Linked DNA regions of Arabidopsis thaliana. The protein of the gene in region 2 interacts with the protein of the main gene of each other region in a pairwise test. Each region holds a gene or a part of one and is shown on either strand. Other genes may lie near its edges.

Evidence for each region.
Region 1: the proteins of APA1 (region 2) and KNAT4 interact in a two-hybrid assay, tested with the Arabidopsis thaliana proteins (one large-scale study listed by BioGRID).

What each region holds. Positions count from the first base shown.
Region 1 is NC_003076.8:3,508,197-3,514,464, reverse strand, and holds KNAT4 (homeobox protein knotted-1-like 4), read right to left. Parts: upstream 4,633-6,268; 5' UTR 4,058-4,632; coding exon 3,485-4,057; intron 2,994-3,484; coding exon 2,873-2,993; intron 2,677-2,872; coding exon 2,492-2,676; intron 2,158-2,491; coding exon 2,026-2,157; intron 1,868-2,025; coding exon 1,731-1,867; intron 1,532-1,730; coding exon 1,498-1,531; 3' UTR 724-1,497; downstream 1-723.
Region 2 is NC_003070.9:4,016,181-4,022,800, forward strand, and holds APA1 (aspartic proteinase A1), read right to left. Parts: upstream 4,586-6,620; 5' UTR 3,817-4,585; coding exon 3,789-3,816; intron 3,700-3,788; coding exon 3,347-3,699; intron 3,263-3,346; coding exon 3,202-3,262; intron 3,017-3,201; coding exon 2,922-3,016; intron 2,838-2,921; coding exon 2,725-2,837; intron 2,642-2,724; coding exon 2,473-2,641; intron 2,387-2,472; coding exon 2,347-2,386; intron 2,215-2,346; coding exon 2,150-2,214; intron 2,059-2,149; coding exon 1,945-2,058; intron 1,845-1,944; coding exon 1,780-1,844; intron 1,663-1,779; coding exon 1,506-1,662; intron 1,409-1,505; coding exon 1,289-1,408; intron 1,199-1,288; coding exon 1,110-1,198; intron 1,024-1,109; coding exon 939-1,023; 3' UTR 532-938; downstream 1-531. Other genes in the region: AT1G11905 (B-cell receptor-associated protein 31-like protein), read left to right, coding at 1-42; AT1G11915 (wall-associated receptor kinase galacturonan-binding protein), read left to right, coding at 5,650-6,466, 6,612-6,620. UniProt on the Arabidopsis thaliana protein: Involved in the breakdown of propeptides of storage proteins in protein-storage vacuoles. Possesses aspartic protease activity in vitro.

The DNA.
Region 1 (6,268 bases), on a different chromosome or scaffold from region 2:
TATCTATCCTCCAGTTACCCACTAACACTTTTATTTTGTGTACTTTTTCTGCGTCACTTTCAGATAACGAATCTTTGATATCTTCAGCAATTGTGAATTGATTTTGAAAAGAAAAGTATTATCTATAAGGACAAAAGAGAAGAAGAAGAAGCAAATTGTTTTCGTCGCTGCTGCAACATAACGGATAACACAGAGTCACAGAGAGCTAGCTGTCTTTTATGATTGGGCCAGCTCTAAAATGCTCCTCTCATATGACTGTCTTGTAAGTAGAAGACAAGACCAATCACAAAACCCCACAACGTTCACAATGCCACGTCATGTGCAATCTTATTCTACCTAAAAAGAGACTCTCTCAACTCATACATTATTACCACCACTAATCTAGCTATCTATCTCCATGAAGGATTATAATTGAAGCAAACCTAAATGTGTAAACGGAATTAGAACTAAAGTTATTTATAATCCAATTGATTTTATTATGGTTAAAACAAAACAAAGACCTATGTTTTACTGTAGTCGAATCAAACCAATCCAAAGAAATCGCATTTACTTAAGTTTTACATTGTTAACTAATAACTCGGTCTTAATTGGAAAAACTAAATTTTAACTAAAAATAAAAACAAACTTCTAAAACTATAACTTTTTCATGATCTTATATGGCTATGAGGTATGAACCATTATGTTAATGATTTGTGCTAGTATTGTTGTTAATTATTTCACCAACTTGATTATAAAAAAGAACAAAAAAAAATCTGATTATAGTATGGATAGAAATGGTAGGTCATCACTCAGGTTCAAAACCCTTGCAAGCCAGTTTGTTGATAAAAATGAAAAGTGTTAATCGGCATCCTTAGAAACAAGAGGACTATGTATGAAACGTCGGCGAGCAAACCCTGTAAGGTAGAGAGTCTAGAGACAATGAGGCCCATAATGGACAATAAAGAAAACGCAGGAAAGGGGCCCAAATTGAAAAACTTTATAATCCCTTTTAATAATTTTGACAACGGCGGAGATAATCTCTTTCTTTCGTTTGCTGGCGACCTTCGCAGAGTTTAGATTTTGGCATTAGGGTTAACAATTCCACATAAAAAGTGGTTCCACTCACAAAACAAAACAAAAAAATTGAAACCATTAATTGAGATAATATATTCAAGCTAAATTAATATGTATATTTGTGTAGATTACGGCCAATGATTGCACAAATTAAATGCATAACGAGAAATTTCCATGTTATTCACAAGATATAATGATGGATTGATGGTGGAGAATGGAGATGGCAGTGAAGACTGACGATCCTATCATAAAGTCCATCTAAAACCTCATATTACAAATCATGCTTTGGGGTTTAATTTTGTGTGGCCCTAATCATTACCAAATATGAAAGCCATACCATGTACTGGCACAAAATTACGTCCTACGTTTGTTGTGTAAGAATTCTTTGTCTTCATGCCTCCACCTTTCTATAAAGCTTTTGGATCTCTACATGCAAGCTTGATCTCAACGGTCTCTTCCGCTGTTTTCACCTGCATTGCTTCATAAAGAAAACCCTCCAAATTTAATGACTCCATATATCTTGAAAATGTAACTAAACATTAATCTAACCATACATAAACAAGCTAAACTTTGTCACACCTAACATATATATATTTCAGAGATTGTATCTTATCGTGTGATCATATTTTGTCTTTTCTTGGATACTCTTCCTATAAAGTTATGTTGGTGCAAAGTACCTTCGGCGTTTATTCTTTGAGACGGTAGAAGAAGATGGATTGCTATGCCAATTCCTCTTTCTTTGATTGATGAACCAATTGTTTATCTGTTTGAGCTGCAAACCCGTCTCCTGCACCAACCTCGCCTTATCTTCCTCCTGTCAAAATTTACATGATTCATTTAAAACTTAGGAGATTGAGAAAGCATATGAAGTTGCAAAAATGATGTAGTCAAAGATTTTCGGGACAGAACTAGGTAAAGACCCACGAGGCGTGTTCATGCGAGTGACTGAAGAAGTAGAAAGAGGGAACTCACAGTAGGGTAAGGCCACTTAGAATGAGATTGCCACCATGATTTGAGAACAGAGGTGGTGTCTCCTGGTAATTTTCCAGCTCTTCTCTTCCTCAGTATCTCCTCTCTTATGTCCACAATTTTCTCCTTGTAACCCTTTTCACAAAAACATGGGTCAATATCATTAGTTAAGCTAACTATATATAGTGTGTACCACAATTTTCATGCATATAAGTGCGTGTAAGTACTATGTAGATGTTGCAAACTGACAACTCATCAAACAAGCTTCAGACAATTAAAAATCATAAATTCATTTGAGTCTTTTTGTAGATCAAAAATAAAGTTTTGACAAGTTCTTGGTTGATTGGACTAAATAGAAGCATATTTACTTTAGCTACAACGATATATAATAAGGTGTGAAGGATTTGTTATCATTGATCTTATATATGTGTAGTAGTAAATGATGGATATAGTATATTTCACTAGTTACCTGCTTGAGTTCATGTTTGAGTTCTTGTCTGACTCGTTCCATCAAAGATCTCTCGCTCTCAGTGGGAACTAGAGGACCAAACCCTAACCCATCTAAGCTTCCATCAAACAAATGAGCATCACTCTCTACTTGCTCATCTTCATCCTCAGACATTGTTGCTCCTGTGCCTTCACCAGGAGATACCCCTGTCTCATTCAACAAAACAAGTGTTAAATTAAAACCTCAAGAAGTAGGTACTAAATATAAAAAACAGCATTGAAATGAGAAATAAAATAAAAGAACCTTGTGTCTTTTACAATACTATAGTGAAATACAAAAGTTACCATAACAGCTAAATGACAAATTAAAGTTGATAATTTAGTAGAAGTCTTAAAAACTAACCTGTAAAACTTTGAAGCGACTGTTCAATCTCCCAACAGGCCATAACAGCTTCCATTGCATGAACACGAACATGCTGTTGCAGTTGTTCTTTGAAAGAGCAAAGCAATAGTACATAATGCGTCTGCACAAAAACATGGAAATATCTTTCAGACAACAGATACAATCATACAAATACGTCCATGAACAGTAAAATATGGGATATAGATACAGAAAGTGACAAACTAGTTTTTGTCAGATCACTGTATCCGTAACTGCAATCAATGAAATTGCTCAATCACTTACACTCAGCAAAAATCTATCTCAAAATAAACCTTATGCTGTCAAATTACTACTGTGCAAAACTAATATCCAAATTTTTAACTGACGATTTATCCAACCCACTGATCATGTCTGTCGGTGCAAAGTACAAGTCTAGAAAGAATTTTTGATTTTCTTCTCTAATTTACTTTTATAAATTTGGAGATAATTAACAACAAAATATTCAAATTTGTCAAACCGTTTTAAATATAAAAGATGAAAGTAATTTTTAGTGATTTTATTTTCCAAAAGAAAAGAAAAGGAATAAAATAATGGGAATTGAGAGTGGTAAGAAGGAAAGAGAAGTTAAGTTACCATGAAGTGGTCAAGCTCCTTGTCATCGCCGGCGAGGAGTCCTTGAGCGGCTTCTAAAGTTGAGTACTTAGCCACGACGTTTTGAGACTGAGCAAGCTGTGCGTCTATCCTCGGAAGCTGATCCACCGGCGTTGCGATCCTCAGGCACGCCACGTGTGCCGACAAAAGTTGCTCGTATAGTGGATGAGACAGTATCTCCGCCTTGTGTCTCGCATTCTGCCACCTCTCCGCCTCCTTCTTCTCTCCGATCATTGACTCCTCTCCGCCGGGAACGTCTTCGATGACGTCACCGGATGTTTCGTTGTTGTTGTTGTTTGCGGTGTTGCCTCGTTGGAGGAAGGATGAGGATCGTGAGAGCCACTGGTTAGCGGCGGCGGAAGAAGGAGAATCGGAGCTTGTAGCGGCGGCAGAGGCAGCTGTGTGGAGATTGAGGAAGTTGTTGTCGGAGCGGAGGAGCCAATTAGGGGGTGCTGATTCTTGAAAATGTTGTTGCTGCTGCTGTTGCGGCGGAGGAGGAGGCTGATGTTGTTGTTGGTCGGTGAAATGATTAAAGTGATTGTTATGAAACGCCATCGTTTTCGTGTTGAATTTGTTTTTGAATTTCTGTTTCGGAGAGGGAAAGATGAATTAAGAAGAAAAAAAGAAGAGAAATTCTTAGCTTTGATGTTCAGATTTATCAATCAATTATAGAAACTTTCTTCTCTAAAACAGAAAGAAAATGAAATATAAGGGTTTCGATGTGTATGTGTGTTTGACGGTTTGAATTTTATATGTAGCTTACACCAAAAAAGACGATTTATTCCTATATTTATTCTTCTTCTTTTATTATTAAATTGTAGAGTACCAGCTTTTTGGTGATCCATAATAAATTGGGATTAGGTCAGATTACTAACATTTACAGCGACAACAAAAAGTTTTATCGTTTTACAAAAAAAAGAGATGGTAGAAGTTGACGGCAAAAGAATGATACGAATTACGAAGTGACAGTAAAAGGAAATAGCTGCATCACTTTTTCTTCATTCGTTCCTAACATTTTTTTCTGCTTATCAAAAAGAATTGCTCATTTTTGCTCTATTTGTTTTTGGTACCAAGCAAAAGTAAATAAATTACACAAATCTGCAAAGGATTTTAAAACAAATTTTGAAGAATATCGGAGGAAAAAAAAGATAATTTGTTAAAGAAAAAGGAGAGTAGACGAATGGGAAAAAAGCAAGGAAGGAGGGGACCATTAATAATGACGTCACTACTCGGCGCCAAAAATATCGGAGGACACGTGTCGTGATAACGATTTCCTCTAATTGTGGTCCCTGAAGAAATTGGCATGCGATAGATCGGATAAGAGAATCCAGCCGTACAAATTTAAATTTTACATTATTTTGTATTTAGTAACAAAAAAAATACAAACGATTCAAAAATTTAGAGGTGTGGGGGACCAATTTCAGAAATTTGACTTAAGCTTATAGTTGCTGTCTTATCAAAAAAGTACGACAAATTTAATCCCATCATCAGAAAAAACATAAAATTTGCATATTAATTTTGGTATGAACTCATGACTTCTGCTAAAAAAACATGATTACAGATACACGATATCAAATGTTTGGCATACACATATTATCTAGGAATAAATATTTCAGATATTATAGAAACATACATATACTTATACTTTGTTAATTTGATCACTAAGCATTGACAAAATAAACAAATAAATAGATTATATACTTATGTTACAAGCATATAAATTTTTGCATGTGGTTCCAAATGTTTTTAATATGAGAATTGGAAGCAATACAATATAAATATCCATCGATTTGTATCAAACCCATCTAATGTACTTATTAGGAATGTGATGCAAAACAATTCGTAACCGTCTAATTAAGCTCCATCACTTAGACTAGTCTAACCTATATCCACGACCACTCCTGTCTCTACCTTGTTAAAAGTAATTTAACTTTAACCTACTCATACTTTGATCAAGCTTCGTTACTCATACTTTGATCGAAGTTGGTTTCTCTATCTCGTATACCAATTGTTCAGTTTAAATTTATTCTTTGATTTTGTATTCATAAGAAAAGTTAAATCTTTTGTTGTCAAGTCAAAATTTAACCGGTAAAATTGGCATTAATATATGAAAGTAGACATTTCTTAGAACTATCCAATGATTAGTGGTAATTTATTGAAGGTTGGTGGCCATTGACTGCTTCCAAGATTTGGCCATTGAGTGTTCTATTTGCGTGCGATACACGCGAGAGAGCCGATGAATGAGACTAAACGACAAAGTTGAATCCACCAAAATATCCAAACAGTAAGGTCTGAGTGATGATGAATAAAAGAGTAGAGACATGTGTCAAGTAAACTTCCAGTGTGATAAGGTCTATGTTTCGTGTGGAATCAGCTAACACATGATTGGACAAAGAGAGTCACATTAACGATCACAGTCGTCCATTTCACAACAACTCTTGTCGTCCCTACACTCTTTTCTACGAGAAACGACGAAGTTCCCTACGGCCTACGGCTCCAACTAATCACTCCTTCATTTTTATTTTTATTTCCTTACCTTATGGTTAGTGAAACATGAAATATATATATAAAAATCTTGTAATTACAATGTGCCAAGTTAATTGTAATCACCAGTAAATCTTGAACTCGTGATATGCATTGTGCTTTCGGACCTCGAGATTACTGATTGAACGACCACCACCGATTATTTTTTCTTTTTTGAATAAAAATCACCGATTATTTCTTATTTCACATTCACATAAACAAGCCTTGGATTTGGACCTACTT
Region 2 (6,620 bases):
GATTCGAAACTTTCGCGTTCAAGCAGCAAAAAGAATACTTGAGAGACCTTATTCCAACACTTGAAACTTCTTTGCGATTCTGCCGTCTGAATATATATGTTTCGAGTTTGATATCAGGAGCTTGTGGTTTGGTGTTATCGCATCTTGTTAACATGGAAGATGATTGGGAAAGATCAGAGAATACAAAACAAGTATAGGTTTGCTTCTTGTTTAAGTGTTTAGCTAAGGTAGAAATTAATCAATTCTTCTGCTATAGGAAACTGTAACTCGTTGTAACTTGTTCATTTCGCAACAAAAACTTCTCGAATTGGTTCTTATTTCCTTCCATATACGTATACAGTCGCTGCAAGTGGGTTGTCATTATAATTTCTCATAAGTTCACAGACTTGTTCAAAATAGATACTTGTTCCGAAATTCAGGAAGGATGCTGCAAGCTTCGTGTTGGGGAATTTACCTCGCTCTTGACGAATTATTAAGGTTTTAGAAAATTGGGTCTCAAACAGTCTATCAACTTAAAATGCATGTTTCAAGCAGGAACGTTCTTCAATATATGACAAATAACTATTATCATCGTGACTTTTTGACGTAGGAATTTATGTGGTTAGAAAATGAAGATAAAGCGAGCTTGACCATTTTCAAATTTTTTATGCTACACCGTTTTTACCGAACCATTTGATACAACTTACTAAGCATAAACAAAAGAGGCAGGCTTTATTAAAGTTTTCAGTTTTTTCACCATCGAACTTACTTAGAAGGTATTTACAAAGCCAATGCCTTCAAAACTACAAAGGCCTTTTTTCGTTAGGAAACAACTTAAAAGGAACTGCGCCACCATTTCTACTACGACTCAAAGTCCTCAACTCCAGAAAACATACAAACAACACTTGAGACGCAGATTGTTCATACTAAAACCATACGCGACACCAACCCGATCGTGTTTAGGCTGCCTCTGCAAACCCGACCTGTTCGTTACCAAAGTCAAATACGGTGTGGTATTTGCCCATGAACACATCTCCCAAGATCCTGTTACATTTTTACCACCGTTCTTAGGGTTAGAAAAAGAAAGCAAGAAGAAATTGTGCTACAGAGTAATAGATTCAATGGTTTACCAGAGAGGTCCACGAGGTGGAGCAACGTCAAGAGCAATAAAACCACTGATGCACTGTGCCACAGGTCCCTCACCAACTTTCAGAACATACTGCTCACATCATACCAGTACAACAGATTAGTAGATGGTCATATTCACTACATAATATGAATGTTGTCTTTAAATAGTTCACTATCATACCTCTTCTGGAGCAAGATCAAATACTTTGCCTCCAATGGTAAGTGAAACAGTGGGCATTGTTGACAGTTGTGCACAGTCAACTGCAGACTCTCCCATTGGGCTGGGGAGGCGTTCACATAGCTGTTAAGAAAACCCACAGTAGCGATTTATAATCAGTAATCAGGACAACAATAACTACTGTTTCACAAAAGTCTTGAAATGACAACTTATTGGTTACCTCGTTGACGTAGTTCAATATGCGCTCTTGAGTCATGTTTTGCCTCAACTGGCTCTGGATCCACACAACAGCCATCTCACATGCAGAACACGCAGCATCTCCAACACCATTAGACAATTTGGCGTTTTCCTTGTCCACCACCGACTCAATGCCCATACTAGATAATTTATAAACAAAATCATACTAAATATGAGCAGATCACACGGAAAAACAAACAAGCATTCCAAAATGAAGATCCTAGCTTAATGGCAATGACTACAGATTATAACTTTACCTGACACCACGGGTACCATCAAAAGTACACAGACCAATCTGCGAGCAGATTTTCTTCGGTTGGGTCTGCAAGGCGCAAGGGGGATGAATGGTAAGCCAAAATAATTTGCACAGCATATGACTTGTCACAGATTTTATTAGCTAGTCCAATATTAAGCACACTAACCTCAGACAAAAGTAAATCCAAAATGGTCTGCCCGTATTGATCCACAACAGTCTTGCACTGCTGGCTAACAACTCCAGCTGCTCCAATAGCATGGTTTATCATGGTGATTATAGTCTACACAGGGAAAAAATTGAAATATTACTACATATACTAGTTAAAAAACCATAATTCTATAAAGCTATAAGCAATTTTAATTCTTGCTTACCGTTGGACCGGCAAGCAAAGATGTACCAGAATCTGCTATCGCAGAACAGCCACTTTCACAGAACCCTGTATAACAGTAACTCAAACTTTAGAACCAGTTGTCACCAGCAAACATAAATAGCAAAACCTTTTTGAATTTGTCAGGAAAAGCTATATATATGTGTTATAAAGAACAACGCCAATCAGTGTTACACATACCAGTGGGTGCACCGCCAATAAGAACATCACCCATGTCAAACTATAACAAAATATATATAGCTTGAGTTAGATCGTCACTGGAAAACGTTATGAGAAAACCAGACAAGGAAGTGATGTATCACAAACCTGCCAGTAGCCCTTTTGTGTCACAGGAACATATGTATGTTTGCCCTTGAAATGATTTGGATCAACACCTCCAAATACAAGTTCACCACCTTCTTCTTCATCTGCATTACGGTTAAGCCAAAATGAAAAAACCGGCTCCTTGATAAGGCCTTGCTTGAGCATGTTGTACCTGTAAAAAACAAGACATATTAGCATTAACACTACAGGAATGTAGTAACTCAGTCCAAACAAGAGAAGAATGTGCAGGCATACCAAACAGGAGCAGCTTTTCCAACAGAGATCTCTTGGAATCCAAGACCAAGGATACCATCAAATTTAGCTACAACAAATGTTATACCAGGCTCCTTGGTTGCCTCGATAAACTCCTGATGAGATAGACAAATGTTAAGAAGGAGGTCATTGATGTGTATGTTGTAAGAGTACTGATTAGGGTCGGACATATAGTTTACCTGATCCTTGACAACTAAATCGCCAACTGTGACAGCATCATTACTAAAAAAACCAGCAATTGCTCCAGTGCCGTAATGAATTGCGGCAGCTTTTCCTGCATCAAAGATGAGCAAGTTAGTTATAACCTAGCAGCTGCTATCAGTAGTGATGTTGCATCTTTTAACAATGGTTTTCTGCACATTAACATGAATTCTAGAGGCTACATTGAGTGAACTGTAAAGTATCTACCAACTGGGAAATCCAACTGCAAAAAATTTCAAGTTAAGAGAGAGAACAAACCATTCTTCTCATATGTGCTTGAACGAGACGACTTGTATTTGGGATGCAAGAGACATGCAAGCTGCAAAAGAGATAGAACACAATTAGTTTTCTACTCAAAAGTATCTCAACCACAGCTAACAACAATAGTCCAAATGTTGCTTACTGAGAAATAGCATTTTGATGATGGCACCCAGAGGTTAGAGCTCCCAGTGTCAAAAACCACAGTGAACTTCTGAGGTGGAGTACCAATGGCGATCTCACCATAGTACTGAGCATCTAGATAATTCTTAAGCACAACAACATCAGCATCTCCAGAATCTCCAAGTCTGTAAGCTCTCAGGGGCTTTTCTTGCTTGGATTCGACGCGTGCTGCAAGCCGATTTTTCGAATCCAACTTGAGTTTTTTCAGTCCAACTCTGAAGGTCCCGTCATTGCGCTCAGCAAAGGCAGAGAAACACAGGAGGAATGACACAATGAGTGAAACAGCAACCGTTCTAGAGTATATCTTCATTTTACCTATTCATTGACAACAAAAACCAAAAACATAAAACAAAGAAAGTTAGAATCAAGAGACCATCACAGAGAAAAAAAGCAGAGAACCATACCCATAAAAGTCAACCAGTATGTATACATATATTTATATCAGAGAGTTCATATTGAATGATGCAACATAAAAGAAAATTTGTAAAGTGACTAAAAATAGGCTAACTCGGTCCTCCTCCTCAAACAGATAACGAAGGACAATGTTACACGCAATATATTGTACAAACTACAAATTATTAGTTTAATTGGTCTCTCTCAATCAGCCACGAAGCAATAGCGTGGAAGCAATAAATAAAGTAAAAACTCTCTTGACTTTGCAAATGACTAAAGACTTCTTTTGCTAGAGAAAGTGATATAAACCTTGAAATCGACATTTGCTTGCCGAAATCAGAAAGCAAATACCCAGATTACAACAAAACCCTAAACATCCGTTCCTATAAACCTTTTCAACATAAATGGAAAGTTTTGTTCAATAAGACAAGCAATCTAGTAAAAAAAGGAAACAATCTCAATTGCACCAAGACTCACATGCAACATAATTGATTCATAAGACACTGAAAATCGCCACAATCGCGACAATAACAAGAGCATGAAATTTATTTTCTTCTTCTCAATCAACTAAAAACGATCACAACTATAATCGATAAATCTTCAAGTAAACAGTCCGATTACGTAATCAAACAAACCTAAAACCCCAAATAAATTCATACCACCGATGAAACCAAAATTAGCCACAAACCATACACAGATCACAAAATCTAAGCGAGTCTACTAATCACATCATACAATCATCCAGATTCAAAATCGAAGAACATGAAATTCGGTAACAAAACTCTTACCTAACTGCTCAGAAAACGATTTATGAACAAATCCACGAGTATTAAGGACAATAAATTAAGCAGAGAACTAAAAGTATAAGACAATCAACGAGAAGAGAATCGATAAGTTTCATAAGAAAGAGAGCTCACCAAAGCTAAAGCACCAGATTCTCAGAGAAATGAGGATTTTTGTTGAAGAAAACGAGAAGAGAGATGGTTACATTTATTTGCGAAGAAAGAGATGACTGTGAGGAGGGATAATGCTAAATTAACCGCGCTGTCTCCTAAATGGACAATTACAGGTGGAGGCCCACTGTATAATCCCGTCAAAAAAAAAAAGGAGATTTCGTGTGGGCTAATGTTTCGTTATTAGCCGTTGGATCTCTATATTGAACGATTGGATTTAATCGTTGACGGATGGATAGGAAGGCGTAACGTATCAAGTTTTATATTTAGTGAGAAATCACGTGTTTACGAATTTAGAGTGGATTACGTGCTCCTTGGAATACTAACCGTTGGATTGAGATGACTGAAATTGAACGGTTTCGATTAAAGAGTTCACCTTACATGGATAATGATCAATGTGTTGTTTATATTGGGCCTATGAGAAGCCCAATGTGTTGTTTACATTGAGATTATCTTCCAAAGATTACTTCACAAATCACAACCCTTTAAACGAAATTCTAAATAAAAGAAAATTCAAAACTATTATATACTGAAATTACTATTTTGTATTTTATAAGGTTCTCATACATTTTATTTTTTTTGTTAAATGGTTTTTAGATAACATGTTAAAGAACAAATTTTGTTGTAAAATATCAGAAAAAAGAATAGTACGTTTGTTGACATATTGTATGTAAATATTTCAAATAATCTGAAACAAAACCACGAGTCCTCTTGGAATACTTTATACTAAAAAGAAAGGTGAAATTTTAAAAACAAACCGAAACCTAAAATAAGCAATATTAACAAGCACATGACAAGATTGATTCTTAAACTCTTTAACAAGACATTCCAAGCTTACTCAACACTTCACACCACCAAATTATAATCTCATAACTAAAAACTACCCAATAATCAAATCTAAACTCCTAATTTTTGAACAATGTCTCCACTTCACTCTTACATTATCTTCTTCTCCCTTCTCATGACCATCCTTCTTCAATCATCAACAACATCATCCCAATCAAATCTCTGCAGATCTTCTTGCGGCAACATTCCGATAAATTACCCTTTTTCCATCGACGACGGTTGTGGTAGCCCTTATTACAGACACATGCTCATTTGCTCCGACAACGATACCAAGCTCGAACTTAGAACACCATCTGGTAAATACCCTGTTAAATCTATAAGCTACTCTGATCCTCACCTTCTTGTCTCCGATCCATTCATGTGGAACTGTCAAGATCGAGACAATTTTCGACCCACTAGATCTTTTAGCATCGATTCAAGTACACACTTCACTGTCTCTCCTCAAAACGACTACTTGTTCTTCAACTGCAACACCGATAAAGTTATCGTCGAACCAAAACCGCTCTTCTGCGAAAGGTTTCCAGATAGATGTGACTCGTCCTGCGATAGTTCTAGCTATCTATGCAGACATTTGCCTGAATGTGGCTCTGCTTTGGGATCTAGGGTTTCTTGTTGTTCGTATTACCCTAAAGCGACTCAATCTCTTAGGCTCATGCTGCAGGACTGTGCGACGTATACAAGTGTGTATTGGAGGAGTACAGGTGTGGAGAATGCACCGTATGATCAGTTTCCAGAGTACGGGATAAGGGTTGATTACGAATTTCCAGTGACAATGAAGTGCCTTCTTTGCCAAGAAACGACTAAAGGTGGTGGAGTTTGTGGGTTTAATACGAGGACACGAGATTTTTTGTGCCTTTGTAAACAAGGCAATGTCACTACTTATTGCAAAGGTCAAAATGTCTATGTTCATATCTTTTCGTCCTAACTACAATTTCTATTGAGAACTATTTAACTACTATTAGATAGTTTTTTTTTTGGTAGGGACTATTAGATAGTACTAATACGTATTTTCAATCATTTTGATACATTCTGCAGATCCAAGCC